4 linked regions of the Rhinolophus ferrumequinum genome follow. The protein of the gene in region 3 purifies or fractionates together with the protein of the main gene of each other region. This does not show direct contact. Links are inferred from orthologs where the notes say so. Each region holds a gene or a part of one and is shown on either strand. Other genes may lie near its edges. The genes, in order: DROSHA, TRIM25, DDX5 and CDK9.

Region 1 (7,565 bases), on a different chromosome or scaffold from region 3:
AACAGCCTTACGGCCAATAAGTTATGCAGCAAAAATGTTTGCAGCAAAAACGCTTGCGGCAAAGATGCTTACAGCAAAAATACCCGACATGTGTTAGTCCTCAAGTCATACACCAGGGAATAACCTAACAACTTTTCCTTCTTTATCCTCTTTAGCTAAAAATTTATTTTAAAATTCCCATCATTTCTGCTTTGTCAATACTTCTTGAGTTTATCCACTTCACACCATCATCTCTACCTTAACTACTACAATAACACCTTTGATGGACCTTCTACAACCACTATTTCCACTCCCCAGGCCAGTTAGGTTCCTTGCCCTCACATACTCTGTGCTTCTTCTTGGCAGGCCCTACAAGAATTACAATTCACCAACTGACTACCTAATTCCATCCATATTGTCTGCCTGCAGCTCACAGCTGCAAGCTCCATCGGGACAGGGCTATGTTGTCCCACTAACTGCTCTAGTGTGGATTCCTAGCCATGTATGCGGCCCAAATGAACACTTTTTCCCCTTTCCTCACATAACTAAATCTTTCCCCCACTCCATGGCCCAGGGTCAGTGTTTGCTCCTCTCTCTGTTCTCCCAAAAGTCCTGCCATTACTATCACACCACTCACCACGTATTGCCTTGCATCATGGAGTTCTGTCTGGATCAACGTCACATCTTCCACTGAGAATATAAACTCTAGAGGAAAGAATAAAATAGACATAAAAATGTTTCCTAAACTAATAATGCTAGAAAATATTTCTGCAATGATCTTAGCACTAATTTTGCATTCTCCAATGCATTTATCATAATACCAAAATTAAGAGCATGTTGACCTGAATTAAAGTTTACAATTACCTTTTAAGATATCCTTGTCCCGCTGACTTGAAACAGTAAGTAGCTAAGAAGACTAAAAATTTGGGCGTGTTCCATCTCTAATATGCTAAAAGACTGGGGGGTGGGGAGGGACTCATTTCTCCTCTCCCTCTCTGTACTCTAAACTTCTTTCACAGTGAGTTCAAACATAATTATAATCTTGTAACGACAACAGTTATCCTTGATTTTCATTCTCATCTCTTCTCATCGGAAAATGTTCTGAACGTGAATGACTTTCCAAATACATAAACTTCAGCAAAATGTTTTAAAAACTCAAATAAATATTAAGTGCAAAAAGCTTTAAAGGAGAAGCATCTTCCTACAGTCTAACTAAAACTTTTACAAATAAGCTTAACGTAGATTTTCAAATGGCTCAGGCAAATAGTTTCAGCACTGTGCTTAATAAATAGTAGGCGCCAAGTAATACCTGAGTAACGATTATTATTCAGTCCGAGGCCCTCTTGATAAACCTAAGGCCTAGACAGCTGATCTTGCCACCACGAGCTACCCACTGCCAACAGAATCGAATTCAAACCCCATGTTTATTTTGTAAGTCGCTCTACAATCTGAACCCAGGCTTATCCTCCACTAAGTCCTCATGAAGCACCTATCACTCTGGTGTTCCCAGTTGCCTAACATACCAAGTACTGTCACCCAGCTTGTTCTTTGCTCCCACTCTTCTGAAATCTCCTACACTATGAATTTGTCCACTGAATTCTACTCATCGACCTACTATGTCAAATGCCACCTCTCCTGTGAAGCCTTTCCGGGTTCCCTTTAGGAAGTAATCCCATTCCCTCTGGACTTCCATTGCTCTTAGTCTGTACTTACTTCTTTTACAGCACTTACCAGAGACTGCCCCATATTATAGTCATGTGTGCACATGTCTAACTCCTCCACTAGATTATTAGCTCCTTGATGACATGGGTTGATTCATAGTCATTTCTGTTTCCTTCACAGCCCCTGGCAGAGCATCCTGCACACAGTAGGTGGTCAATAAATGTTTACTGTCTCACCGATGGTACATGTTTCTATGTTGCTACTGTATATTTTACTTCCACATATACCCACAACAGATTCGCATTAGCCAAACCAGACAAAAAAAACAGGCCTTCTTTCCACTGATTCATAGGGCACTATTGCAGGCCCTGTGGATGTGTAAGACACAGCCTGCAGGACTCAAGGAGCTCAGAATCCTCCATTTTTAAAAAAAATTATATAATGCAATAAACACAAGAGGTATAGAAATGGTGTAGGGGAAAACAAAGGAATGTTCTGGATCTAGAAGTGGGCAACAGCCAGGATCACTAACACTCTCAAACAATGTGTAACAGTTGAACGTTCATTGTTAGATCCTCATGGACGTTCCCATACAGGCTATCTGAAAACACTGAGTATGAAACTGACCTATTAAAGGCATAATCAGGCTGTGCTGTGGATGCAAACTTTAATTCAAAAGTCAAGGAATTCACTGCAACTGGAAAAGTATTTTCTCCGTCTGCCTACTCCTAAGTCGCTGTTTGGAAGCAGGGAAACTGAGGGAAACTGATGCACCACGTCCAGGAACATGAATCTATGCAGAAAGAGTTGCAAAGTGTGAACACATTTTTAAGAACATCCTCTTTCCCCAGTTGAATCCGCAGGCCGGTCATCTTCCTCCGGCTGCATTGCGTGTTTCCCTATTTGCATCTCCCGCCAGACTGTGAACCCCAACCAGGCTCACCGTCTACCTCCCCTCCCAGACGTGGGCGACCCCCAGGCCTGGACCAGCGCAAGCGCTCCACAAATGAATTAAAAGTCTCATTTTTTTCACTTCTATTTATTTACGGGATCCGGACCTAGGGTCGCTTTTTTGCCCTTAGCTGCAGATCTGAAGTGGGGGGCTGTCCGACCCCAACTTCCAGGCGCCTCTCGCCTTAGCCCCAGCCTCCAGCCCCTAAGTTTAAATCCGGACCCTCGGAAACGCTCCCTCTCCCAACACTCGCAAGGTGGCCCCTGTACCTACAAAAAGGCTCCCGGGTGCCGAGGTCGCCGTCAGAGCAAAGCCAGGCTTATTGTGCAGCCGCCAAGATCTTAGCACCGCCCGCGCCTCCGGAACAGGAAACCGAGGTAATTAAAAGGCAAACCTGAGAAAGCCGGACCGCGGGAGAGAAAGCTTTGGGGGCGCTCCGCTGTGCCTTGTGCACCGTGATTGGCGCGTCAGCAAACGCGATGGACATCTAAGCCAATCGCCCTCGTTGGACCCTCCGGCGCCCGCCTCCTGCCCTCTACGTCCTCCAATAGGGAACCGCAACCGGGTGAGCGTGTGTTTCCAGCCGGGGAGAGTGGCGGCCCCTCCTCTCTGGCGTTCCCGGATCTTTGTCCCCGCGTCCTGGTCTCGCAGGGGCGCTCGCTGCTGCATGGAAAACATGAGTGACTCCGCGGGAGAGCGTGCTAGCCTCCGACGCTACCCGGAGCTCCCGGTGTGGGTGGTGGAGGATCATCAGGAGGTGAGCGGACGGCTGTTGGGCGCTGGGGCAGAATCGCGCGAGGGCGGAGGAGGCCAGAGAGAGAACCAGAATCTGTTATGCCCGCGAGTTGCATTGCAATGGGGGAGAACACCAAACCTACCTTAGAAGCTAACTTGGAAAGATAAGCGCTGACGTTTATGGGGCGATTACTGTGCGTCGGGCAACCTCATTTGACTCTGGCCCAAAAGTCCCACAACCAACAACTGGTGACGTCAAGATTCGCACCCGGCAGCCTTACTGCAGAGCCCCGAGTCCTTAACCTGCACCGTAGCGCAGGCTTCCAGCTGTGCCCCGGCGTCTCCATCACAGTCCTGTGTAGGTGGGAGGCTTTTTGTAAAGAATGCGGGTTGTCATCTGTGAAATGGGGACAACCGTCGTAGCACTCTTAGGGCCGTTAGTATTGTGTGCATAGCGTGTACCTCACTTTTTTAACATGATGCCCCACGTTTAGAAACACTAAAGATCTTTTCTATTTTTATGGCAGTGCTAATTTTCTATTTTTATGGCAGAATAGCTAAAATGGTGCCTTAATGTAGACTTCTAGAAGCCTACATGGAAGGCCATGGATGTAAGACTTTTTTTTCTAATTTTTTTCTAGGTGGCATTAATAGGCCTAGGGAGTTTTCTGGGAAAGAGGAAAAGGGTACTTTCGGATTTATGGATGCAGCAAGAGGAGAGGAAGGCAGTTGAAGCTGGGTTTCTCAGGACCTGGAGATAACGTGTATGGGCCTGAGAGTAAGAGCAAGCGGTGGGTTAGGCGGTGCTTTCAAATTCAGTCTTAACCCTGGAACTGCAGAGACTGGAACAGGACAAAGAGCTGTACGGCACCTTCCTGAAATATGGAAAAGGCCCGGAGACCCTGGGTGGCTTGAACACGTTGCTAATGCCGGAACGTGTATTATTAACTAGCAGGTTATTTCTGAGCGCCAGCCCGACCCATCCTCACGTTATCTGTTGGGTTTGTTGTGGGGCAGGATAGCAGCAAGGGACAGATATCCCTTAAAGCCTTTGGAGGTCCACGTTGGAAGTTCTGAGGAAACAAAGTTTGAGGTCATTATCCAAATCATCTTCAATGAACACTTTTTCCTACATATATTTTCCTCCTTTTTAACCACTTAGTTGCTTCAGATTATGTGCAGTTATGTGTAGCATTGATCTTCAGTCTGCAGTTGAGTGTATTCTCATCACTTCCGTGCCAATTCTGAATGTGTGCATGTGTCTTTTACAGGTTCTGCCTTTTATATACCGAGCCATTGGCTCAAAGCATCTTCCTGCCAGTAATATAAGTTTTGTGCATTTTGATTCACACCCAGACCTGCTTATTCCTGTGAATATGCCAGCTGACACAGTGTTTGACAAGGACACTCTTTTCGGGTAATATATGATTTTGTTAATGATCTTTTATGTGCTTGAAATACAATTTGCAGTAGGTGATAATTAAGAGAAATAGACTTAATCTCATGAGTTTGTTTTTGTTTTGTTTGCCTTTTTTATTTTATTTAGAGCAAGTGTTAACAAACTTTTTCTTCAAGAGCCAGGTAGTAGATATTTTAGGCTTGCTGGCCATATGGTCTCTGTTGCAACGACTTATCTCTGCCTTTGTAGTGTGAAAGCATCCGTAGACACCATGTCAACAAATGGCTGTGACAGTGTTCCAATAAAGCCTTATTTACAAAAACAGGAAGCCCAGCCAATGTGTGCCAACCTCTTCTTTGGAATATGGAATTTTAGAAATAGAAGAAACTTTAGAAGTTATCTGAGCCAGTTCTCCCTTCCTCTCCACTTGAAAAGTCTGAATACTGAGTCACAAGAAAATGTGTTTTAAACACATAGTTCAGTAATTGTATAGGCAACACATCTTTCATTTGTATATCTTTCCTTCCAGTATTATATTTTTCCAACCTCCCAATTTGTTTATTTTCAGGTCACAAACCCTACCGACTTTTCAGTTATATAGAACCATAAAGGTAGAAGTGAAGTTGGTCATTTTTATTCCATTCTGCAGGAAGGATCATACCTAATGTAGCTGTAAATAATGACTTACTAACCTCTCTTCTGTAAGAAAGTTCCCCCAAATTCTGTTGCTGTCTCTTTATGTACATATTTGTTAGAATGTAGCCTACTTGTACAATATAAAAAGTAACATAGCAGTAATTTTCTTGTTATAATATAAAATTAAAAGATAAATGCTTGTGTTAATTAATTTTAGCCTACTACATTTGACTTTTTCCAAAATTCCAGTTCAGAGCACTAATTTCTAAAGAAATGGTACATCTGCCATTGTCTTTACTCTCTTTTATATTTAGAGGTGTTATATTTTAGAAGTTGAAAAGAATAATGAAGCAGGTATGCAGACTGTACAGTTAGTCATAGAATAATAGTTCTTAAACTTTTTAGTCTCAAGATTCCTGTATACCCTTAAAAATTATTGAGCTTTTCTTTAGTATGGGTCATAGCTATTGATATTTACCATATTTGAAGTTAAAACTGAGAAAAACGTTGAAAATATTAATTCATTTCAAAATAACAGTATTTTTTATGAAAACAAATACATTTTGTAAAGCAAAAGAATTTAGTAAGAAGAGTAACAGTGTTTAAATCTTTGCAAACCTCTTTAATATTTGCCTTTATAGAAGACGGCTGGATTCTCATATCTGCTAATGCATTCAGTCTATTGTCGTATGTTGTCGGTGGAAGAATATGAAAAAAATTCAGGAAAAGAATTTTCATAGCCTTTTCAGATAATTGTGAATATTCTTTAATACTATACGAACGCTTGACAAGTGGTAGTTTCTTAAAGCTTAGTGGGACTATAGAATCTAACAATTCAGATTCATTCAAGTCTGAATAACCACGGTTTATCAATCCGTCTTTCTTTCAAGAAAAACGGTGTTTAGCTTGCAATTGAATCACGAGTGGTTTTTCTTGACAACTATTGTACTTCAAAGTATGTAGTAGAAGTACTTTCTGTATACTTCTCATTTTGCCACACGAAATATTTTTAAATGTATACTCAGGATCAAGGTTTAATCATGAAGGACAGACATTCATACGTGAAACTAGCTTTGGTGGGGGGGGGAGCGAGTGTTAGTGCTTCGTAGTGAAGAATACGATGACTACTAGTAGAGTTTGATGCCGTCGCTTTGATTAATCTTAGGACATCAAGCCACCAGGTTGCTTTGCAACATCCGTGCAAATGTCAATACAATGAAAAAGGGAAAAAATGCCTTAGGAAAGAATGCTTTAGGAAAATTGTTTTTAACTGATGGTCACAGAAAAGGTCTCAGGAACCCCTCAAGGTCCCTTAGAACACACATTTTCTCCTTTGTATCAAACTCATTATTCTTCATTTCCTATTTTTTTTAACTGTTTCACCTTTACTACTTAAAATATTGTGGTGAATGAAATTACATTGGGGAAAAAAATTACTCACTAATAGTTTTCTTTCTTCCTCTCTATTTCTTTTCCAGAGAATTAAGTATTGAGAATTGGATTATGCCTGCAGTGTATGCTGGCCATTTTTCTCATATAATATGGCTTCATCCCACGTGGGCTCAGCAAATCAGAGAGGGCAAACATCACTTTTCAGTAGGCAAAGACATTTCTACCACAACAATCAGGTAATTTCCTCATATTTATGAGTATGAAAGAGGTTGATTGCTTCTTATATATTATTTTGGATTCCTGTAATAATTTAATAATTATCTCTACACACAAATAGGGTGAGATTAAGCCTTAGCTCTTCTAAAAAGAGTTCTCAAAACACCAGGAACAAGTTTTCAAGTCTCTTGACTTTCTTCACACACCACACCATTTATATTTTGTTGTTGGTCAAGTTCATTTTTGAATAACATGATTTTCATCCTCTGGAATTTTGGCTCCATTGATGACTAACTCCATTAAATCACTGAAGTACCTTTAGACTTATATACATATTTACTGATACATTTTACCATTTCCTTCCAATATAACTATTGTTTGCTGAATGAAACGATTAGCAGTGAAAAAGCAAAATTACCTCACTTTGTTTTTTTGTCTTTTTTAATAAATCCAATGGCTGAAAAATAGATTTGGGGTTTTAATTGTATTAATATGATTATCTTTAGATAATTAACTTATCTAAATTAAATTTGATCCTCTGACTTGAGTTACATGTGCAAGTACTTTTGTATATATAACTAATTTTTTGTTTAT
Region 2 (7,406 bases), about 14 Mb from region 3:
CTGTGACAATGCCCTTTGACGTGGCCTCTAATAGAGGCCAATATAAACTGGACCAAAGGCTGAAGGCCAGACCCAGGCAGGTCTGGCCTCGCAGATCTCAAGAGCTGGAAGAAACCTCAGAACACCAGGGGGCTGCCAAATGTTTCACCTCCGAGAGCCACTCTTAACCGTGAACTCCTAAATTCTGTATTTTAAAAGATTTTATTTACCATTAATCAAACATGTATGACAGTCCCCTGATGGAAGAAGGGGGTCCACGCAACTCCAGACAAAAGGAAAGTGGCCCAAGGACTTCGATAGCCACAACAATCCCCTAATCAAGGTTAGAGACCTTTTTGAAGTTCTGAGGATCCCTTCACAGACTGGGGACTTGGGTCCTCCACACGGGAGGCACTATTGATGGAGACCAGCCAGCCACCCAAGGCTGGGGCAATGCCCAGCTGGGGCTGGCTCTGCCACCAGGAGTAAGCAGCAGCAGGGCTGGAAAAGGAACATGGTGAAAGGACGCAGCCAGGACAATGGCGAAAGAGGGGAGGTGGAGGGGAAAGGCCTGTTACAAGGATTAAAAAGCCAAGTGTGTTCAGCACACAATCTGGGCGTAGAATCCAGCTCCAGGCCCTGGAGGCTGAGAGAACTGTGGCTCTGAGACAGGCTGACAAGGGGCCTCCTGCCTCTACTTGCCTTCTGCCTCCACCGGTAAGAACTTCTTAGAAAGGCCTTTCAGCAGGAGCCAGGCTGCCCTAGTCTTCATGGGCAGGCCCAGGCACCCTGAGGCAAAAAAGATCTGGGCAGCCTGACACTGCCCAGCGAGTTAAGGTCTCCCTCTCCCCTGGGAGGAGTAACAGCAATGAGCCTTCACCATAAAACGCAGTTTATAGGTTGCTCATTTAATCCTCCCAATCACCTTCGGAGATAGGTACTATTATTGTCCCCCTTTTCTGGATTTCCCAGCTAGGAAGCAGAGCCAGAATTCAAACCCAGGTCTCAACATCCAGCTCTGCCTGGAGCCTGTGTCAGCCAGCCACTCTGCCTGACACTGGGGCCAGCCTACAAAGCACGTCCCACATAGCTCCTCTCTCCGGAGCGTCCCTAAAATGGGAGCTGTACTAATCCCATTTTACAGATGAGGAAGCTGAGGCTCAGAACTGCAGTGACTGACCCTAAACCACAGCTGGTATGGGGCCAAGAAGGCCTCCTGGCTCCAAAGGCTAGGCAGGTTCTTTCCTATGACAGTCGGAGACCCAGATGGCCGGGCCTCAGATGGGCAATTCTCAGGCAGTGCCTGGAGGTCGGGCTTCTGAGACTCAGGGAAGAAGTCCAGAGGATCCCAGCTCAGACTGGGAGAAGCAGGCCCAGCCAGAGAGGGGCTGTGGCAGGATGGAAGCAAGGCCTGCACCCCAGTCCTGGATGCCACGGCAAACTTCCCCCAGGTCTCAGGTCTGCTTTGACAATATGAGGACAGCTGACAGTGCTGTGAGAATCAAAAGAAATCGGGGCGCGCTTTGGAGCTTAGACTGATAAAACAAAAGGTGATACCTTTTCAAGCCTCTGCCTTAACTCCACCGGGAGAAGTTATGATTCTCCAAAATGACCACAGACCTGTAAGGCCCTTTAGGAATCCACCAGGTCCCACCTCCTCACATTACTGACAAGGACTCAGGCCCAGGGGCCAAATCCTGTGCTCAAAGTCACACAGCCAGGATGGAGGGCACTATGGTGCAAGAGCACTGGCTCTTCCTGTGGGTCATATCCAAGAATTCCTGAGACACAACCCACCCGTAGGGATCCTCCCTACTCACTAGAACTCTCTGGCTCACCAACTGCTCTTGCTCACATGACCTCAATCCTCCAGGAATGTCTTATGCTCTGGACTCTGTAGACTTGGGTATGAAGCTGGTTCCTGGGGAGAAACGGCAAACTGTGTAGTCAAACCAGCTGGGTCCCAATGCCTACTTGGCCATCTACTGGGTTCCTCAGGCTAAGTAACCTCTCCCGAACTGCTTTCCCTAACTGAAAAATGGAACTAATGACACCCACCTCCTGGTGCTGCCAGGATTTAATGAGGGAACAGAGGTAACCTCCAGGGCTCATATTTGGCATTCTAAACCCTTTATTAACACCATCAGGCCAAGCCCTAGACTTAAAGTAAGCACCATCACCTGTGTCTTCTGTCCCGGATCTCAGGCCCAGCAAGGCCCAGCCCCATCCCCACCCCCATCCAAGTGATCCAGGGGAGACAGAGATGCGCACGGCGGCGTCCTCTGCACAACCCAGCAGGCCCAAGCTGCCCCTCTGCGCCCTCCGCCGCCACCCCCTACCTCCAGGTCAGCGCTGGCCTGACTCAGGGGTACAGGCGAGCAGGTCTTGTGCTCCACCAGGCAGATATGGCAAATGCACTCGCTGTGCTCAGGGCAGAAGAATTCCCGGAGCCGGTTGTGCTGAGGGCACTTGCGGTGTAACAGGTCGTGAACCGGCGGCTGCAGCAGGTGGTCCCGGAAGGCCGGGCTGTCGAGGTGTGGCCGCAGGTGCTCCTGGCAGAAAGAGGCCATGCACACAAGGCATGTCTTGACCGCGGCCTCCTTCAGGCAGTGGTCACAGGCCACCTGGTCGGTGGGGCTGGGGGCGGTGGCGCGAGCGGGTGGCGTCCAGCCGTCGGCGATCGCTTCGCGGGCCAGTTCGGCCTGCAGGAACTGATCCACCACGGTGCACAGCACAGTGTTCTTGCGGAGCTGCGGCCGCACCTGGTACGCGGCACGGCACTGAGGACACCTATACGGCGCGCCATGGTCGGCCCACGTCTGGTCCAGGCACGACCCGCAGAAGTTGTGGCCGCAAGGAGTGGTGACCGGCTCCCTGAAGGGCTCCAAGCAGATGGAGCACGTCAGCTCGTCGGCCAGGGACAGCTCCGCCATAGCGCTCCTTGGAGGACCGGACGGGACGCGCGGAAACGACGGCCGCGACTGTAGCACAAGAGCCCAAAGCCACCAAGAAAACGAAACTGAGCGGCGGGAGGGCGGTCTCTCGGCCTTTCAGGAAATCACGTGGGGGCCCGGGGAGACGGGCAGGGGGCGGAGCCGGCGCGCGGGGTTCCTTCTCTGGCGACCGGGTGGTGGCTGTAGTCCCAAGTCTCGGACTAGCAGTCTTCGGAGGTTCAAGTTATTCTCACAGCCACCGCGGGGTTCTTAGGGCCACCTGCGGAGGAGAAAACCGACGTGTCGGGTGGAGAACCCCAGATCCGGGGAGTCAGAGCCGAAATGCAGTCCGGCTTCTGCACAAACGCGCCTGCCCCGCATTCCTTCCTTAGGAGAACTCATCCAGACCCGAGGAGTCCCCTCCGCCCCGGCGGCAAGACTGTCTTATCAGGACTTTACTAGTAGGATTTGGAGACATCCCAGTTTCACAAAGGTTTTTCTCTCACACACGTACGCAGCCAAAAAAGTAATGTTGGAACCTAAACATTTTTCTCAAAATTGTTTATTTAGATTTATTTCCTTCCATTCTTTTACCTCTGTTTCTCCCGCTCTGGTCAGAGTGCAGGAAAAGTCAGTGTACAGGAGGTGAGAAGTGTTCAAGAGACGTGGTGGGGGGCAAAGAGAAAGATTGCGTTTGCGGAGGAGTTAGCTGGAGTTTGCACTGGGGAGAGGATGAGCCGCAAAAATGAGAAAAAGGTAAATAAATGACTTAGACTACTGCTAAAAGTAATAACTACCACTTATGGGACACCTACTGTGTGCTAGACAAGTCAGATATGTTCCCTCTTATAATCTTTATAATCGCTTCTAGTCCTTATAACTCCCACAAGACAGAAATCATACCCATTTTATAGATGAGGGTCATGTATTTTACACAATTTAGGACTGGGATTACAATTCCTGGTTCCCCTATTTCTATTCCTCCAGGCCCCTTGACCCCATTTGTTCTCTTTCATATTGCATTGTTGTTTGCATGAGGAGGAAGACAGAAGATGAGGTGGGTAGGAAATTAAGATTTAGGTATAGTATCTCATTTAATTCTCACAAATCTTTAAGGTAGGTATAATTACCTCATGTCACAGATGAGAAAACTGAAGCTTAGAGAAACTAAATAACTTGCCTAATACAATGGATATTGGCATCCAGGCTATCTGATTCCAGAAGGCAAACATTTTCTACTATAAAATGCTGCCTCTCAAGAGGAGCCATAGAGCAGCTTTCAGTAAATAAATACCGTAAAATCCCCTATGACCTACCTCTTGTGGGTGAGGTGGCCTGGTGACTCATGCCAGAATGTTTGTGGAATTCTCTTTCCTGGAGGAGAAGTTTAGAAAAAATGACCAGGAGGGGCATACTTTATGTTTTTCAAATTCTATGCAGTAGATATGTCGTAAGACATACTATGCTAAATTCATTCCATTATGATTAAAGCATATACTTTGTGTTATTTAAATCTTTTAAAATTTATGGAAACTTTTTTTATTACCTGAATATGGTCTATCTTGTTATTGGTTACTATTTGCCTGGCATCTCTTTTTTCCATCCTTTTACTTTCAACCTTTTTGTGTCTTTGAATCTAAAGTGTGGCTCTTACAGAGAGGATATAGTTGGATCATGTTTTCTATGCATTCTACCAATCTCTGCCTTTTAATTGGAACATTTAAGCCATTTACATTACATTACCAATAAGGTAGGACTTACATCTGCCATTTCCTTATATTTTTATGTCTTACATCTTTTCTGTTCTTCTATCTCTCCGTTCCTGCCTTCTTACTTTTGTATTCCTTTGTTCTTTCTTCAAATATTCTTTCTGCCTTCCCTCTCTCTCCTCTTCTTTAGGAACTCCCATTATTGGTATGCTTGTTGGTGTCCCACAGGTCTCTGAGGCTCTGTTCATTTTTCTTTCTTCCCTTTCTTTCTTCTTTTCCCTTTCTGTTTTATAGGCTACATCATCTCAGTAGATCATAAGCAGGTCCACCAGTTCTTTCTTCGCACTGCTCAAATCTGCTGCTGAGCCCCTCCAGTGAACTTTTTATTTTAGTCATTATACATTTCAACTCCAGAATTTTCATTTGGTTCTTTTTAAAAATAATACTACATTACCTCCTTACTGATATTCTCTATTTAGAGAGACATCATTCTCATACTCACCTTTATTTCTTCAGACATGGTTTCCTAAGGTTCTTTGAACATATTTAAATAGCTGATTTAAAGTTTTTGTCTGTAAGTCCAACATCTGTACTTCCTCAAGGATAAATTCTGTGTTTTTTTTTTCTCATATGGGCCATTCTTTCTTCTTTCTTTGTATATTTCATATTTTTTTTGTTCAAAACTGGATATTTAAAATTATACAATGTGGCACTGTGGATACCAGATTCCCCCCTCCCCACTGTTTGTTGTTGGGCTGTTCATTGTTGTTATTTGTTTAGTGACTTTTCTGACTTAATTCCCTGAAGTCTGTGTTTATTGTCATATGTTGCTACTAAAGTCTCTGCTCCATTAGCCTAGCGATCAGCTAACAACTGAATAGAGATTTCCTTGAATGCATAGAACCAATAAGTTTCCCGGTATTTTCTAAGGTCTCAGAGTTGTTTGCAGACTATTGGTTTTCAAGACTACCGGGAGCTGGAAGTGGAGTAATGGGAATGGGACAAGTTAAAACACCACAGTTTGCTGTTCCTACCAAGATTCAGCCACTCTTTCTTTCTTCCTTCCTTCCTTCCTTCCTTTTTTCCTTCCTTCCTTCTTTCCTCTTTCCCTCCCTCCCTCCCTCCCTCACTCTCTTGCTTCCTTCCTTCTTTTCTTCCTTTCTTTTTTATGCTTTATGCTTTATTGGTTTGGCGGGGAGGGGTCAGAAAAATATGGAATGCTTCACGAATTTGTGTGTCATCCTTGCACAGGGGCCATGCTAATCTTCTCTGTATCATTCCAATTTTAGTATCTGTACTGCGGAAGCGAGCACACAGCCACTTTTCTTGAATAAGCATTCCCTGAATTGTTGTAAGGTCTTCGCTAATTCCCACAGGTCTGAAAAAGTTGATCCTGACAATTTTTGTTAGTTTTCTTTTACGGAGGCAAAATTTTCAGAGGTCCTTACTCTACCATAATATTACTCTTTCCCCTGCTCCCCCCAGGATAGCCTTTTATCATATCATATTATTATATCTGTAAAAATAACAACTAAAAAAGACATTATCAATAAATTTCCTGGTGAAAATTGAAAATTCATCAACATGAGAGGTCTTTTTTTTCTTCCTGTAATCATTTTTGAATAATTTTTAATTACAATTTACATACAAAATTATATTAGTTTCAGGTGTACAACATAGTGATTAGATATTTATATACCTTACGGAGTGATAACCACGATAACTCTAGTAACCATCTGTCACCATACATATTTATTACAATATTGTTAACTATAGTCCCTTCTGTACGTTATTACATCCCTGTGACTAGTTTTATAACTGGCAGCTTGTACTTCTTAACCTCTGTCTTTTTCACGTATCTCCCATACCCCTCCCATCTGGCAACCATAAGTTTGTTTGCTCTATCTATGAGTCTGTTTCTGTTTTGTTTTGTTAGCTCATTTTATTGTTTTTTAGATTCCACATGTACGTGAAATCATATACCATGTTGTTCTTTTAATGTTAGTAGAATCTATAGTAACGCCTTTTTCATTCCTGATGTAAGTAACGTGTTTTCTTTCTTTTTTTCTTGATTAATCCATCTAATAGATTATTAATTTTATTAATTTTTTTCAAAGAACCAACTTTTGGCTTTAATTTTCTGTCATTTGTCTGCTCTTTTTCTTCATTAATTTCTTCTCTTAACTATTATTTCCTTCCATTTACTTTTGGTTTAATTTGCTCACGTTTTCAAGATTATTAAGTTGGATTATTAGATCATTATTGTTAAACTTCCTCCTTTTCTAATATAGGGGCTTAAAACTATAAATTTCCTTTTAAACACTGCTTTAGTTATATTCTACAAGTTTTAATTTGTGTGTTTTCATTACCATTTCATTCAAAATATTTTCTAATTTCTTCTTTGATACATTAGCTACTTGTAAGGATATGGCTTCATTTCCAAATATCTGGAGCTTTCCTGGGTATCTTATTGTTATTGATTTCTAATTCAACTCCATTTTAGTCAGCACTATTACGTAAGCTGTTTCTCTTTTGAAATATGTTGAGACTTATTTTATGACTTGTTTTATGATGGACATTTGGTCCATCTTAGAGAGCATTCCAAGTATACTTGAAAAAAAAAGTGTGTGTTAAATTGTTGAATGTATAAATGTCAATTATATCAAGGTTCAGAACTTCTGTATCCCTCCCAATTGTTTTGTCTAGTTGTTCTACCAATTTTTGCCGGAAGCTGTTAATAACTTCAATATACTAATTGTCTATTTCTCACTTTGTATTTGTCCGT
Region 3 (7,857 bases):
TGGAAATTTGATATTTGAAAGAATCTAGCCATTTGTAACTTCAGTTATGATGCAAAACAAACCTAAACCAGAAATTGGATGTTTTATAATACTAGTAAAAACAATGTTTGACAGGTGTTTTTCTGTTTAAAACAAACAGAAATATTGTTTTTAAGCCTTATGTTTTTCTGGCTTAACGAGATACACAAGTATACCCCAGGGGTATACTCAGGACTTCGTAGTTTCCAGGATGGGGAGCATACTCTGCCAACCCAGCAACTTAGACTGCCTGCCAGAATGCAGTGCTTCATAGTGGAGGAGAAACTGCTTTACACAACACAGGAGTAAAAAGGCTGCTCTGCAGGCTACTGGAGGAGGTAAGCAGTTTGTAACTTTTCATGGTGGGTGTGAGTTGTCCGGAGAAGCTCTACTGTAAGAAGTTCTATAAGCGGACACTACCTTGCCATATAGTATGTTTTAAAAGCACAAATTACCAGAAATTGCCCTACTCTGGTGATAAAGCAATTCTAAATTGCAAAAGAACAGGAAAACCCCACGGTTACCCCTCAAAATGAATCATCTCCAAAATAATTTACTACATTTATTCTCCCAAACTGCACTCAAAAACTTAAGACAGTATTTTTGCAAAAATTTGTTCTTGTCAGTATCAAATTAAGAGATGTAAATAACCTATCCTGATTAACATTTATCTCCTTTAAAGAATAAATCAACAGTATAAACCCTCTTTTAGTGATTTGAGTTTCAAGTTCCCAAGATTCCTTCTGTTCATTAGCTGAAAATAATTTATTTTGGGAAAAGGTTCAAAAAATAATTTGTAGTTTTATTTATATTGAATAGATAATCACGATTCAAAATTTAAAAATTACAAAAGGTATATAATGAAGTCTCATCCCACCCTTGTCCTGCAGCCCTTTACTTCCTCTTATTGGAGGCAACCAGTATTACAGGTTTCTCGTATATGCTTCTAGAGAGTTCTACATGAAATCTATTGCATAAATGTTCTCCCCGCCTTTGCTTTTACAAATAGTAGCATACTCTGCATATTATCATTGTAATTGCACCACATTTTTCTCACACAATATATAATGGTGATTGTCCCACTAATATGGAACATTGTACATAAAGAACATAATCAATCATCTTTTATAGTTGCACAGTAGTTCCCTGGAGCTACCATAATTTATTTAACCTGTCACCACGAATGGACACTTAGATGTTTCTAATTTTTTAGCTACTACAGACAAGTAGCATGGTAGCTTTAAAATAACAAAACAACAATAAAAAACATACCTCCAACTACCAGCTCTAGGACTTTGACTGAGATCCATCATAAACTCAATGTCTGACTCTCCCGGGAAAGCTCTCAAGGATGGCTGCCTTAACTATACATACTCAATCGATTGTCTTGGCTCAGTCTTGCCATTTGGTCTATTTCACAAGCTTACTCATTTGGCTAATTAAATAATGTCCTGGGTTCTGTCTAACAAGTTATTTTTGTAAAATGCAAAATTATCTGGAGATGAAGTATATACCAACCTGTTATGTGAGACAAGCTGACCTGCAGGTAATCCAAGGCCAGTGAATCGATTACTGCTTGTACATTGTGAGCTTCATCCTCTTGACTCTTAGGAATAGCTATGAGGTCTGTGGAGGAAAAGCTCCTTAATTTTGCATCTGTGAGGGTCCAAGTTTTCATCTATCTGTCTCGGACCAGGCTCTTGATAAGTTCAACTGCTACAAAAGTAAGCTCTGCCCAAACAGAACAGTTTTTATAAAGTACAGATAAAGTTAATAGAGCCTGAATTCCACACAGAATCTTTATTGGTTGCATATTTATTGATTGAATATGGTTGAATAAACTTATGAACATGCTCTACATTAAGTAGTACACTAAAGAAGAGAAAGAAGTCCCTAAATTCGGGGCCGGATGGCTCAGTTGGTTAGAGTGAGAGCTCTCCTCTCAACAAGGTTGCCAGTTCAATTCCCACAAGGTGGGCTGTGCCCCCTGCAACTAAAGATTGAAAACGGCAACTGGACTTGGAGCTGAGCTATGTCCTCCACAACTAGACTGAAGGACAACGACTTGTAGTTGATGGGCCCTGGAGAAACACACTGTTCCCCAATATTCCCCAATTTAAAAAAATCCCTAAATTCAAGATGGTAATACGATTGTAAGGGCAGCAATTACTAACCTATAACCGTGGGCTGCTTTCCATGAGAGAAAAACAACAACAGGTGTGAAATGAGGGTTACTGTATGTCCTTTTAAAGGGCCCTATTAAGAATTATTGGCATAGAGGTTTAAAAGATCAGTATAGACCTGAGTGCAGAAGGATTTTTAAATATCAACTTAAATTTTGAGTTCCTCCTCTGGTGTTGAGAAGATGAATGTTTTTTGGGAAGGATGAAAATGTATTTTAAAAGACTGGCCTAATAAGTACTTGTATATACCTCGGGACGCTAAAGAGGGTTGAGACTAGCATCAAAGATACCAGCTAGAGGCTATTCCATTATTCCAGGAAGTGAGGAGGGACTCATGGTAACAGTGGGAAAGGAAGAGAGACTACGTAGAGCTTATTTTGGTACATTTCTTATGTGAAGAAATGAAGGCAGAGAAATCTATGGATAAGGACTCTGAGATATTTAACCAGGGATATAGTACAAACATCAATTCTAATCTGTAATATTGGTTAAGCAACAGGGTTGCACAAGTTCCCAAGTTCCACTCAATTTTAGAACCTTTAGTCACAGAAAACGTGTGACTTTCACAAGGCATCAAACATGATTAAACAGTGACAACCAAGACCCGTCAAACTGATTTGACCAAGGCTGTTACTAGGGGTGGGTCTCATAAAGTATTCATTAAGGCAATGAATGCAATAATTAGATAGAAATAAAATGGAGACAAAGAGAAAACTCAAGATTTTATAAATACCATAGGATCTCACTTAAAGGCACTAGAAACTTCTGGGGTAAGATATAGACATTATTACTCCCACTTTTTCGCACCCTTACCTGGTACCTTTTCTCCCAAAATGGATTGATAAAAAGCAATAAAGACATTAGCATCACAATCTTCTAGTTCATGTATTCTCAGGTGTATGTGACATTTCAAAAGAAGGTTATTGGCAATGGCTACCCACTCTGTTGGGAGAGAAAAGGAAAAGGTCAGCCTTAAATAGCACTAGAAAAAGTCATAATCTGAAAAAACAAACAAAAAAAACCCCCTCACAAAAACAGACATTGAATTTTGTAGAAGATAAGGAATTTGACTTTTATAGGATTTCAAAGATCCTCCTAGGCATGATTTTTGAAAAGATGTATCTAATTAATTACTTGGGATGACTTCCAGACTGCAATAATTTCCGTGCAGTCAAAAATGGAATACAAATCTAATTTTGACTGTCGCAACCTAAAATCTTAAGTTATTTACTGTGGTTCTTATTTTACAAGCCATATGTAGGTGTTTTTATTTATAATATATTTACAGGTAAGTGGGAACGTTGTGTCCCAAACAAGATAATCCGAGGCTACTAGAAACTACTAATGGATGTTGCTTCAAATTCCCAATAGCATTAGTCATGGTTTTACCCAATTATCTTATGCAAACAATTTCTCTGGTGTCCAAATAGGTAGTGATTAACTTAGGCTGTTAAGAACTGGAGTAATGACACCAACACTACTGCACTTGTTAGTTTTTTTGTATTTGACTATATGAAAGGAAATACGGAAAGTTTATTTAAAAGTCCCTAAATCCAGAATTAGCACATTACCGATACTGTGGAAGTTTCCTGTGTACGACCCTCCCCACCCCAGATATCGTTGGAATTAGAAAAATTATTTCAAGAGTTTCTCGACCGAAGGTAATTTAGAAAACTTAGAACGTTTGTTCCCTGAAATGATTGTTGATTAAAGGTAAAGTTCCTTTATTCTGCATTCGATTGTCTTCAGTATGTTCTAGAAATGTGTGACTGTGTGTTCAAGGCACGTTATCTTCCTCTTCCCAGAAAACAATGTGTACGTGTGTGTCTCTTAAAGGCACATCATCTCCCTCTCCCCCATACTCATTTCTCACAGCTGACCAAACCATCACAACTAATCTGAACGCTGTTCTAGAGAAAAGGATGAAAGCGTCCTAGACAACCAAATCAATGCGCTTTTCAAAAGCGAGGCTAGGCAAAGCCGGTAACTCCAGAGGGCACCGAAGACAAAAATCCACTATTTTCCTTTGGTAGGGGCATCAACAGATCTTAAGAGTGCCATTCCTCCAAAGTTCAATACAGATTCCGGTACTACCTCAGTCCCCACAATGCAAGAGTAAAGAGCACTTGAAAGCGGCTAGATACCCCAGAGAAACAGGAGTCCGGGGAAGAAACTTTTTGACTGCCCTTTTTTGCAGCCAGGATGCAAGCATACTACAGGTCTCGCCACAGAGACCTTCTCTCCCCGACCCCCAAAATCGCGCTCGACGGCTTCCAAGCGGACAGCGAAGTGGGCTAAGAGACACTCCAGGTAACCTGTTACTACGACGGAGTGTGTGTCACGAGCCCCGCTGGCAGCCCAGACCTAGCTGAAGCCGGCCTGAAGTCTCAAGATATAATAGGCAGGGGCGTTCGGTGACTTGGCCCGCTTTAGTCCACATATACCGGGATTCCAGGTTGAGACTCACCAGCCTCTGAGCTGGCCATGTCGCGGAAGCAGGTCGCCGCCCGACTCGCAGCTGAGCGCGCGGGGGACGGTGTCCTGAAAGGGCCGCAACAAGCCGATACAGCGCTGAGAGGGGGAACGACAGGAAAGTGCAGGGTAGGAGGAGTGAAAGAGGGAAGGGCGTTAAAACGGCTTCTCGCCACTGATTGGTCATCAGAGGAGCACTTCCTTTCGCAACACGCGCCGAGGCGGCGGTTTGGGGGCTCTAGATACCATTCTCCTCCCGAAAGATCGCGCTAAGCGACTCTCAGGTGGGTGGGTTTGACAGTGCGGGTCACGCAACAGCCGGGGCCGGTCTCCCGGCGGCGTTAGCGCGGCATTAGCGCGGCATTTCCGGTGAGCTTTTCGTTTTGTATTCCTCCGCGGACGCCAACTGAGGAAGTAGTGCGGTCCGCTCACCCGGTGGGCGGGGTCAGCCACGTGACAATGTCAGGGTCCGCCTTCCTGTCTCGTATGGTTCTGGGCGTGAGCGCTGTTTGGAGACGTAAACAACTCCAAGTGGACCGAGTGGGTTGCCCTGTGCTGGCCATTTTATAGCCTGTGCTGGACCTGAAAAGGGCGGGGTAGCTTCCTTGAGGTGTGGAAAGACGAGAAAAAGGTGAAGTCAAAGAGAGTGTAGGCTGAGGCATTCCGGTGGTGAGTGGGCCCAGCCATGGAAAGGGCAAAAAACGGGCGACTCTAAGGGAGGGACAGTGGGGGAGGGGAGAGGACATGGCGGATTCCGGAACGTTTGCGGGCGTTGCGGCCTCTGCGCAGGGGCGGGGTGATTAGGTCATAGAGCGGCTCCCAGCATTCTCTGCGGCGGAGGAGGCGGTCCAGCCTATAAAACCGGCTGCCGGGACGCGGCCGGCACCTCATTCATTTCCATCGGTCTCTTGCGGAGCAGCTCCGGCTCCTGTCATCGCCGTCCTTCCGCCGCTGCCGCCCCCGCAAGGCTTTGCTTGCCGAAGCCACCTCCACAGCGACTCGTCGCACCAGATTCTCTCCACTTCGTTCCCCGCCAACCGCAATCATTGACGCCATGTCGGGCTATTCGAGTGACCGAGACCGCGGTCGGGATCGAGGGTGAGTGGGGGAACTGACCTGTCAGGCCCCACGGGTGGGGGATGGGAGGCCAATGAAAAGAACGAGGGGTGGGTAGCGATGGGAACTTGGCTTTTTCAGCCGTTTTTTGGGCCTCCTCAAGGGAAAGTTTGCGCCATTTTGTTATTTGTCCAAAACTGACGGAAAGATTTTTCTAGAAACGGTCCTCAGTCTCGCTTTTTGTTTGGGAGCGTCGGGGCTTCGGCGATTTAGCAGTTGTGGCGAGAATTGAGTGTGTTGTGAGGGGAGGAAAGCGCGACGCTTCGAGGAGAACGAAGTTGTCGCTGTTGAGTGCAACCTTTTGGGAGGTGTTTTAGGAGTCTCGGGGATTTTTTGGGGAGCCGAGAGGGCCGCTTCGAAAGCCATTGATGCGGCGGGGGCAGGAGGGTGGCCGGCGCCACGGTAATCGGCCATGTGGCTGAGCCGTAGGTACAAAATGCCGGCGTCGGACATGGCGCCGGCGCCTTTGTTACCCCGCCCGGCGGAGGAGCTCAAAATGGCAGCGTCGAGAAAATGTGGCGCAGAGAGAAATGCGAGACAAAGGGGGAAGCGCCGCCCCAGCGGGAACGCCGCCCGGCCGACTCCGCCCGGGCCGGGACTCCTCCCCTGGTAGTCGCCAGCTCCTCCTCCTCTTTTTTTTTTTGCGTTATATAATTTTGTTACCTTGATCGGAAGCCGTTCCGCGGTTCCTCCCTAGTCGATTGGCTTGTATAAGTGTCCCCGAGACCACCACTCTTGCTTGTTCTGCTTTCACTGCCTGTGCTGTCCCGTTATCCATTGAAACCAAAGACCCTTTGCTTGGAAACAGCTGGTAAATAACATCGCTGTTAATAAGCTCCTCCCTTCTTGTATTGTCCTTCTCTCAGACATTTAATTCCTAAGCTCGTGGGAAAGACCGGTAGCCACAAGCTGTTGTCTGTCCTTGTAATCTGAGCTTTTGGTGCTTGGGCAGCCAATTTCCGACCTGATAAATCCTGGGCTGTTTTTTTGGCTTTAATAGCGTGTACTTGGGACAACAGGGAAAAGGAGAAGGGTGCTAATTGTGGTTTGGAGAGAATGATCATCACTAAGGACAGCGCTAGGTCTTATTCCTCCAGAAGTCTTTCATCCATCTTTATTTAGCGTGTGCCAAGGAATAGTAAGTTAGAGTGTATATAAACTCCTACATAGACGTTTGAAAACGTAACTTTCTTTTTTTTAATTGCAGGTTTGGTGCACCTCGATTTGGAGGAAGTAGGGCAGGGCCCCTATCAGGAAAGAAGTTTGGAAACCCTGGGGAGAAATTAGTTAAAAAGAAGTGGAATCTTGATGAGCTGCCAAAATTTGAGAAAAATTTTTATCAAGAACACCCTGATTTGGCCAGGCGCACAGCGGTGAGTAATTTTCTTTGGCTTCATCAGGTTTAACTTAGTGACTTACAGTAAATCAAAATCTGACCAGAAAAGTGTTGGCAAATGACCAAGTTGTGGGAAATCATGCCTTTTTATTAGTTGGGGAAGAGGTGTTACTCACTTTTGGAAATAAATGGCTCTGAATTTTTCTACTTAGCATGGTAGAATATAACACAATAGACATTTTTCTGTGCCATGTAGGGTTTTCATCACATGGATTCAGATTAAAATGGCTATGTTAAAGTACCTAATCAATTATAAGATTAGGGGCTTATTGTTTGCATATTTAGTTGGAGGAGGTTGTCATAAGACTTAACCAGATTATTATTTGTTTTGTAGCAAGAGGTAGAGACATACAGAAGAAGCAAGGAAGTTACAGTTAGAGGTCACAACTGCCCAAAGCCAGTTCTGAATTTTTATGAAGCAAACTTTCCTGGTAAGTACTAGTTTTGAGTTTTGTCCTTTTTAAAAAAAATTCCCTTTTCTTGGCCTTACTGATTTTTCTAAATGTGTGTTGATAATCATAGCAAACGTCATGGATGTGATTGCCAGACAGAACTTCACTGAACCCACTGCTATTCAAGCTCAGGGATGGCCAGTTGCTCTAAGTGGATTGGACATGGTTGGAGTGGCACAGACTGGATCTGGGAAAACATTGTCTGTAAGTTTGGAAGAAC
Region 4 (7,748 bases), on a different chromosome or scaffold from region 3:
CCACTGCCCACTCCTCCCCTGCCAGGGAGACTTCTGCATCCTGCAGGGCCCAGAGGCCCAGGCAGCCTGGCCACCCACCTCAGGGGTGATGGAGCCACAGAGCTGGCTGATGAGGGCGAGCTGATGCTGCTCCGTGTTGCCCTGCATGATAGGGCTGCGGGTCCACATCTCCGCCATGATGCACCCAGCACCCCACAGGTCAATGGGGGGGCCGTAGTCCCGCTCCCCTGGGAAGAAGAGTGCACCAGGAGTGCCCCTTGAGCCCGAGGGCCTCCTGAGACGCAATGCCCGGGGGCCGGCGGCTCAAGAAGCCCTGGCAGTGGGGGGCTGAGGCCAGGTTAAGTGCCTAGCCCCTGCCCCCTTCTGCCCACTCGGGAGTCCTCACCGAGCAACAGCTCTGGGGGCCGGTACCAGAGCGTCACCACACGGTTAGTATAGCGGTTAGGCTGACTGTTCTTGGCGAGACTGAAGGCCCGGGCCAGTCCAAAGTCTGCCAGTTTCAGGACCCCGTCTCGGGTGATGAGCACGTTAGCTGCCTTCATGTCCCTGTGCAGGATCTGCAAGAAGGGCAAAGGTGAGGGCTCAGTCAGGTTCCCAAGGGTCCTTTAGCCCCGCCACCCAGCGGTGGGAGTACAGGCAGACCAAGCCTCGGTCTCTCCTCCCCCACCTTGTTCCTGTGGATGTAGTAGAGGCCATTGAGCAACATCTGCATGACCCTCTTGATCTCAGACAGTGTGAACTTGACTAAGACGTTGCTCAGCAGCCCAGCAAGGTCATGCTCGCAGAAGTCAAACACCAGGTATATACTGCCTTTGCAGCGGTTATAGGGGGAAGCTGAGGTGGGAAGAATGGGGAAGGAGCAAGAAGAAGAAAATAAAAAATCCCATATACCACTCATTTTCCCACAACCAGCTCCTACCCCCCTCCAACCCACTGACACCCAGAATCCATCTGTGGGTTCCTTCACTGGTAAAGTATTTCCCGAGTGAGTCCTCTGGGCCAGGTGCTGTGGCGGACCCTGGGAAAGCACCAGCTACGATGAAAGGACCAGAGAAAGCAGTCACAGTTGGTAGGTATGCCTGGGTTAAAAGTGTGTCCAGTTCCAACTTTGCAAACAAAGCCTTAAGTTCTAAGCCTCATTTTCTCCATTTGAAAATGGGAACAAGATTCAAACAACTTACCTTTGGTTCGACAGATCTCAATCAAGTTGACCACATTCTCATGTTTTAGAAGCTGCAGGATCTTGATTTCCCGCAGGGCGGTAATGGGGAACTGGGTGGAATAAAGAAAGGAGGTCAAAAGTGAAAGCGCACTGCAGATCAAGGAACTGGCCATGGGGTCTATACTAACGGGAACAGGTTGGGAAGACACAGTAAGATCACAGGCTCTGAAATCAGCTATCTCAGATGCCTTATCTGTAAAATGGGTGTAAAGTAGTATGCACTCCTCAAGAAGATGCTTTCAGACAATGAATTGAAATAGTGATACTTAACCACTTCATTATTGGTCACTAAACGCTCCCTAATTTCTTCAACCTTTAAATTTTAGCTCTGTGCCTGTGTTTAACTTGCTGGGTAGTAACACAAATGACCATTCAAGTTCCTTGCTAACAAGCACATCTCTGAAAGCTGGACTAGAGCTAAGATGTGGTGGGAGAGGGACTCCTTTTCAGTTGAGTACTAGTCACCCTTTTAAAGCCATTGCATGTATTTTCCTTTTGCACTGAACAAAATTAAATTCTAAGGGAAGTGTTTTAACAAAGGCTTTCCAACTTCACAAGCCCAAGTGCATTCAGTGCAAGCATGAGCTCCCCCTCCTGGCCCCAACCTTGTATTTGCCTAAGAATGAAATACCAAATGCTTTAAAATATTTGAACTGAAAGATTTAATTTGGAAGTCAAATTTCCTGGGCTATGGAAATTCTCGAGCTACTACACATAAACTAAATTTCAACACGTGAGTCCTAGAAGCAGCAGGATGGAAACCCACATGCCCCGGGGAGATGGCTGGCCAGCTAGCCCACCCGACCCATACTCACCCCCTCCTTCTCGTTCTCCATCAGTACCTTCTTCAGAGCCACTTTTTGGCCGGTCAAGCGGTGCTTTGCCTTAAACACCTCCCTGCAGGCCGAAAGGGGGACCCAAAAAGATTCATCAGGCCGTTTTCACATGGCTCGCCCCTCCCCCTCCAGAGGAGGAGGGCAGAAAAGAGACTCCCGTGTAGGGCTGAGCCTGGTACCTAGGGCAGTGGGCTACCCTACTATCTGCGGTCCCTCTCCCAACCTCTACTTCCTCCCCAGTCTCTTCTCCTCAGCCTGACGTCTCTCGGAGAGATCCTGCTCCCCTCACAAGCTCCTCTGCAATTCCTGCCCGTTCCCCACCATGGGCCTCAGGCTCCTCCCCGCCAGCCAGCTCCATCAGGCCCCGGCGGACTGCAGTGCGGCCTAGCGAGACCAGGGAATAACTCTAGGGCCAAGTGGCTCCCCGACCACCTCTGGCCCAGCCCCGGGCGTCCCGACGTCGGCCCTGAGGGGTGCAGGCCCAGGGCACCGGGTCCCTCGGGGCCCATCCTTACCCAAAGGTGCCTTGGCCGATCTTAGCGAGCTTCTCATATTTGGTCACCTCATCACAAAAGGGGCACTCCACCGAGTCGTACTGCTTTGCCATGGCCGCCTCTAGCGCGCCGCCGCCACCCCCAGCCGCCGCCGCCGCCGCTGCTCCCGCTCCGGGTCCCGCCGCCGTGCTCCAGGCCCCTCCGCGGCCGCGCCACTTCCGCCTCCACGGCCACTTCCGGCCTCGAGGCGCCGACCCCGCCTCTTCCGCCCGCCGCCCGCCGCCAGGCCCCCTGGGACTTGTAGTTCCCGGGAGGCCAGGAGGAACCGGAGCTGCAGAGGCGCCTCCGCCGCCACCGCTGCCCCCACCTCCGCCGCCGCCACTGCTGGCGGCGGCCCCGATTGGGGGCGCGGGGAGCCGGGGCGCCGGGGCTGGGGCTCGGGGCGGTGCGTCCCGCTGCATTGGCCCGGGCCGCCGCTGCTGCCGAAGCCGCTGCCGCTCTGGCGCCCGATCCCGGGCCAGCCGCAGTGCCCTGCTCCTCCTCCTCCGACGGCGCCGCCTCCGCCGGGCTGCGCGGGGTGGCGGGCGGGGGGACGGCCCCCAAGCCGCGGCCTGGGGGGCTCCCTGGCCGGGCCCGGGCCCGGGGCGGCCGGGCGAGGGGGCGAGACGGGAAGAGCCGACGAGGAGGCGGCCCGAGAGCCCGGGAGGGGGCGCGTTATAAAGGGGGAGGTGCCCGGGCCTCGCCCTCCCCTCCCCCTCCGCCCGCCCCCTCCCTCCGCCCTCCCGTCCTCCGCGGCCGCACCTGCCGCCGCCGCTGCCGCCGCCTCCCGCCGGCTGTCCGCCGGCCGCCCTCGGCGCGTCACAGCCCGCGGCCCCTCCTACGCCTTCGGAGGTGGGGCCCCGCACTCGACACCTGGCTGAGGGGCGCCTCGCCGTGTGCCTCAGTTTACCGCCACATGCCAGCTGCCGCGGGGAGCGCCTATTCCCCCCCCCTCACTGGCGGGAGGCAGCGAGGGAGCGGCCTAAGGTCCGGGAGGAGAGAACGGCCCCCGCCACCGCCTCCCGGGGCCCCAGCCACCCGCCGTTGACATGGTAACCGACGGCCACCAGGGGGCGCGGCAACACTGGAGGCGGCGAATAAGCAATGCCCGGGCCTTCTAGCGCTGGACCCTGTTCTCTGGGAGGCAGGGATGAAACCTAGAGGACCCCCGCCCCAGCCGAGCTGCGCGAGCCTTGGGTCAGTAATCACAAAAATAGCATTTACTCAGTACCTCTGTGTACTCAGGAAGTACTGGGCGTTTCCTCTGAATCCTGAATCAACAGCGTCATAGTAAGGATCACTAACCCATTTTACAGAAAAGGACATTGAGGCTCAGAGAAGTGAGGTCATTTGCCCAAGGTCACACAATGACAAAGCTGGGACTCGAACCTGGTCTGCCTGAAGGGGATTCTCCTGACTCAGGCTGTCCTGGCCAGGACTACAGCAGTGGTGCTGTTTGAGGCCTGCTGTCCTTACGCCAGGCACCAAGCCTGCCATTCACCCAGTGTCTCCCTCCCTGGCCGTATTCCCCCTTCCCCTGCCTCAGCCCTTCTCCAGCATCTTTCTGATATCTTCCTGGCTCCAGGGGGCCTCCCGATTCTTCCTCCAGCTCCACTCAACAACCAACCCCCAGAAAAGCTGTCTTTTACCTCCTCTGTACCCCTTCGATCTGCCCCTCTCCATTCCATTGCCCATGGATCTTGAGTCCTGGCCTCCCCAGTCCGGCTTCTCCATCTGTCTCCCTCACAGTACCCACCAGAGCATTCTGAAATAGAGTCTGCAGGTATTTCCCTCCACTCCCTTAAAGAAAAAAAATTGTGACATTTGAGGTTCTTTCCAGCTCGCCTCCTAGGCCACACGAATCTCCTGTGTTTCCTAACTCCCCAGGCCTTCCTGTCTTTAGGGCTGTGCTTCCTGATTGCACCCCAGAACCTCTCTATCTGCATGAAACTCTCCAGCTCTTACTCCACATGCTTAGCCTTGTAGCCTCCTTGTAGGAGGAGGCAGGAGTGGGTCTGCTGATTATGGTGTCCCAAGAGGCCCTGTTCTGGACAAGGGCTCTGCCAGGGAGGGCCTTGTGGGTCCGGTGAGGAGCAGGGAGCCCTCCCTCTCCTGAGGGCAGTGTGGAGCCGGCGAGGAGGGTTTTAGGTAGTCGAGTGACATACCAGGGAGTGATCTGGGATCAGCTTCATGGGTACACTTAGAAGCAGGGAGGCCATTGGCTAAAGTGGGAGTGCTGAGGGCAAGGAGGGAGAAAATAATTGTGATAATTACAATTTATTGAAGGAAAATAAATGGTCCAAGCCGTACACTTAGCACTTTATGGGTATTATCTCAAGTCTCACTCAGCCATATAAGTTGAGTACTATTATCACCTCCATTATACACATAAGGACACTGAAACTCAGAGGTGACATCACCTGGCCAGGGTAAAACAGCTGGCCAATGGCCACACTGGCATTTTGAGCCAGGCCAGTCTGGCACAAAGCCCCAGCACGTACCCATGTCAGGACCCCACCTACCTGGACGGGGGGTGGAGCACAGGCATGGCACAGCACCACTGGATGAGTGCCCTGGATGCTGATGGGAGCTGGAGGAGGGGATATCAGCATTGGGGTCTATCATGGGTTTGTGTGGGTGCCACCATCAGTCTCTCAGACCGGGGCCCCTGCCCACTTCCCATGAATACTCCCTAAGTCACATCCTGTGGGCAGAAGCCTCAGCAGAAGTTCCGGTGGTGTCATCACCTCCACCCTACTGTCTTTGACCTGTACCCCAACATTTCACCAGTCACTTCACTTCCCCTCTGCGCCTTGTGTCTCCAGCCTTCCCTGGGGAAAGAGGGCAGGCAGGAGTGGTCAGAAAGCTGCCCAGGCTGCCCAGGTGGAAGGGAGAAGAAATGAAGCGCGAGCCAGAAACAATTTCTCACTGACTTGGATTTCTGATTCGCTCTTTTGAGGGAAATGCTTCCTGCTTCCCTGGATTGGCTAAGCTAGCCAGGCCGGACGTGTGGCCAGTACTCAATAAATGTTTGCTGACTGACTACAAGGCTGTGAGAGAGCCTGTGGTCCTGCTGCCATTTAACAGTCAGGGAAACTGAGGCACAGGATGGGAAAAGGAGCCACTGGCCTGGACCCTCTTATTTTCTCCCCCAAGCAGGGACAGGGTGGAGAGGGTATGGAGGGATGAGGAAGATGGGCCCATGGGGTGGGTGCTCTTGGCTGCTGGTAAGTCTGAGGAGACAAGGGATCCCTGAATGGGGGGTACAGAGAATGGCTGTGTGATACCTAGAGCCCTGTAACACCATGGACATTCTGTCCCCACTAGACGGGTACTGACTCTGCCAGGACCTGTATTGATATGTTGTCCCCCTAGAACTTTACAGCACCCCTATTAGGAGGTTGCTAGTATCAGGCCCAAGTTACAGAAAAAGAAACTGAGGCTCAGAGTGTGCCCAAGGCCACACAGCCAGGAAGCTATGGAGCTGGAATTCAAAGCCAGGTCCCTCTGCTCTCAAAGGCTGGGGTCATTTATCACTATCCTACACTGCCCCCAATACCAGACAAGTGGGCAAGCTGGGGAGAGGCATCAACTGAGTCCCACAGTACAGCAGGCGTGGGGCCAACGTGGATGCGTAAGGCTGCTTCCTCTCAGAGCACAAGGTCTGTTTGGAAGATGCAAAGAAAGACACAGGAGAACGTAATAGGGATGATACTCTCATATAAATGTTTTATTTCATTGCCACAGGATCGTGTGAAGATGTGGTATTTGTCCCATTTTACTGATGGGGAAAATGAAGCTCAGAGAGCTGATGTGACTTGCCCAAGATCATGCAGGTGGGGTCTGAACTCAGGTTTGCCTGAGTCTTTGACGACGAAGTTGAAGGCTTCCAGTCCCTAATAGGTGCCTGGCCCAACTGCAGGCAACTGAGTTTAGACTGGGGAAGAGGGCAAGGAGAGGGGACAGAAATCACAGCAGGGTTCCTGGGGGCACTGTAGCTGAATCTAGACTTGAGGGACTCAACGGAGGCAAAAGATGGAGCCGGTGGAAGGAAGAGCTGCGCTCCAGGTATGGGTCCAGCCCAAGCAAAGGCCTGATGGCAGGAGAGCACTTGTGTGTTCAGTGCTGCGGAGCCAAGCGTGGGCAAGGCTGGGCTGGACTCCAGCACAGGCTGAGGAGGGCCTGTGGGACAGCCAACCGCCAGCAGGTCCCCCAGCCGCACTCCTAACGGCCACTTGAGGCAGCACAATGGGGGCTCTGAGCTGGGCAGAGCCTCCACACTGAGCCCCATTCATTCTCCCAGGGATGTGGCAATTGCCCTGGTACCCGGGCCAATGGCAGGGCCCCCAGCGCTGACAAGGCACCTCCATCACACAATATAGTCTCGTTGTGGCCGGTATTCCCGGGGCTCACGCCGTGTGCCTGATGCTGGGGTTTCCTGGCCTGAACCACCCCTATTCTTCCGCAACAACTGCCAGGGCTTGCTGAGGCCAGAGTGTACATAGGCTCCTTTCATATTCCTCCGGAAGTGGGGGCTACTGTGACCCATTTCACAGATAAGGAAACAGACCCAGAGCAGTAAAGTCTCTTATGAAGGATCACATAGTAAGTCGGGAGTGAGCCTGGCCAGGAAGTCGGTGCTGGCTGATGCCACAGCCTCAGCAGTTGGGCCAAGTCCCTGGGACTGCCTCCTGGGAGAGAAGCCAGGGACCCACTAGGAAGACCCGCAGCTACCACCAGGCCGCAGGCCCCTTTCCCTCTTCCAACAACAACCTGGAGATGAGAGGGGCACCAGCCTGGGAGCTAGGACACCTGGGTGTCTGTCTAGTCTCTGTTCCTCTGTAGCCTCAGTTTCCTCATCTGTGAAATGGGACAATAGCAGGATTTGCTTCACAGGTCTGTTGTAAGGATTCAGTGGACGATCTGTGGAGGCTTCCAGCTCCATGCCTAGCTCATAGTTAGTGCTCAGTAGAAGAAGCTAGAATTGGACCTCCCCTTTTTCTCCCAATTCTATGACCCAGAAACCCCATCCTTTCATTTGAACTTTGAATACTGGTCCCATCCAGCCTGTCTGTGAGCAGGACCCTGGTGTCTTGGTCTCATGGGCTATGTCCCTTTCTCTCTCAAGGCCTCAAGTTCCCCCTCGTTCCATCAAGG

What was found.
Region 1: the proteins of DDX5 (region 3) and DROSHA purify together in Homo sapiens (co-immunoprecipitation; 4 studies listed by BioGRID and IntAct, with this or other methods). This does not show direct contact. The link is inferred for Rhinolophus ferrumequinum from reciprocal best matches to the Homo sapiens genes DDX5 and DROSHA.
Region 2: the proteins of DDX5 (region 3) and TRIM25 purify together in Homo sapiens (affinity purification with western blotting; 3 studies listed by BioGRID, with this or other methods). This does not show direct contact. The link is inferred for Rhinolophus ferrumequinum from reciprocal best matches to the Homo sapiens genes DDX5 and TRIM25.
Region 4: the proteins of DDX5 (region 3) and CDK9 purify together in Homo sapiens (affinity purification with western blotting; 3 studies listed by BioGRID, with this or other methods). This does not show direct contact. The link is inferred for Rhinolophus ferrumequinum from reciprocal best matches to the Homo sapiens genes DDX5 and CDK9.

What each region holds. Positions count from the first base shown.
Region 1 is NC_046290.1:20,747,355-20,754,919, forward strand, and holds the start of DROSHA (ribonuclease 3), read right to left. Parts: upstream 3,001-7,565; 5' UTR 2,867-3,000; exon of another isoform or gene 2,863-2,866; intron 2,435-2,862; 5' UTR 2,269-2,434; intron 1,838-2,268; 5' UTR 1,711-1,837; intron 685-1,710; 5' UTR 637-684; coding exon 617-636; intron 1-616. Other genes in the region: C7H5orf22 (UPF0489 protein C5orf22 homolog), read left to right, coding at 3,261-3,350, 4,600-4,745, 6,842-6,991. UniProt on the Homo sapiens protein: Ribonuclease III double-stranded (ds) RNA-specific endoribonuclease that is involved in the initial step of microRNA (miRNA) biogenesis.
Region 2 is NC_046304.1:28,459,383-28,466,788, reverse strand, and holds the start of TRIM25 (E3 ubiquitin/ISG15 ligase TRIM25), read right to left. Parts: upstream 3,003-7,406; 5' UTR 2,913-3,002; coding exon 2,319-2,912; intron 1-2,318.
Region 3 is NC_046304.1:42,882,572-42,890,428, reverse strand, and holds the start of DDX5 (probable ATP-dependent RNA helicase DDX5), read left to right. Parts: upstream 1-4,849; 5' UTR 4,850-4,957; intron 4,958-5,149; exon of another isoform or gene 5,150-5,342; intron 5,343-5,592; 5' UTR 5,593-5,727; coding exon 5,728-5,771; intron 5,772-6,996; coding exon 6,997-7,162; intron 7,163-7,519; coding exon 7,520-7,616; intron 7,617-7,707; coding exon 7,708-7,841; intron 7,842-7,857. Other genes in the region: CEP95 (centrosomal protein of 95 kDa), read right to left, coding at 1,537-1,644, 3,015-3,143, 4,669-4,687. UniProt on the Homo sapiens protein: Involved in the alternative regulation of pre-mRNA splicing; its RNA helicase activity is necessary for increasing tau exon 10 inclusion and occurs in a RBM4-dependent manner. Binds to the tau pre-mRNA in the stem-loop region downstream of exon 10.
Region 4 is NC_046295.1:76,825,454-76,833,201, reverse strand, and holds the start of CDK9 (cyclin-dependent kinase 9), read right to left. Parts: upstream 3,016-7,748; 5' UTR 3,014-3,015; coding exon 2,574-3,013; intron 2,120-2,573; coding exon 2,038-2,119; intron 1,273-2,037; coding exon 1,182-1,272; intron 835-1,181; coding exon 668-834; intron 558-667; coding exon 386-557; intron 228-385; coding exon 79-227; intron 1-78. Other genes in the region: SH2D3C (SH2 domain-containing protein 3C), read left to right, coding at 3,742-3,788, 7,720-7,748. UniProt on the Homo sapiens protein: Protein kinase involved in the regulation of transcription.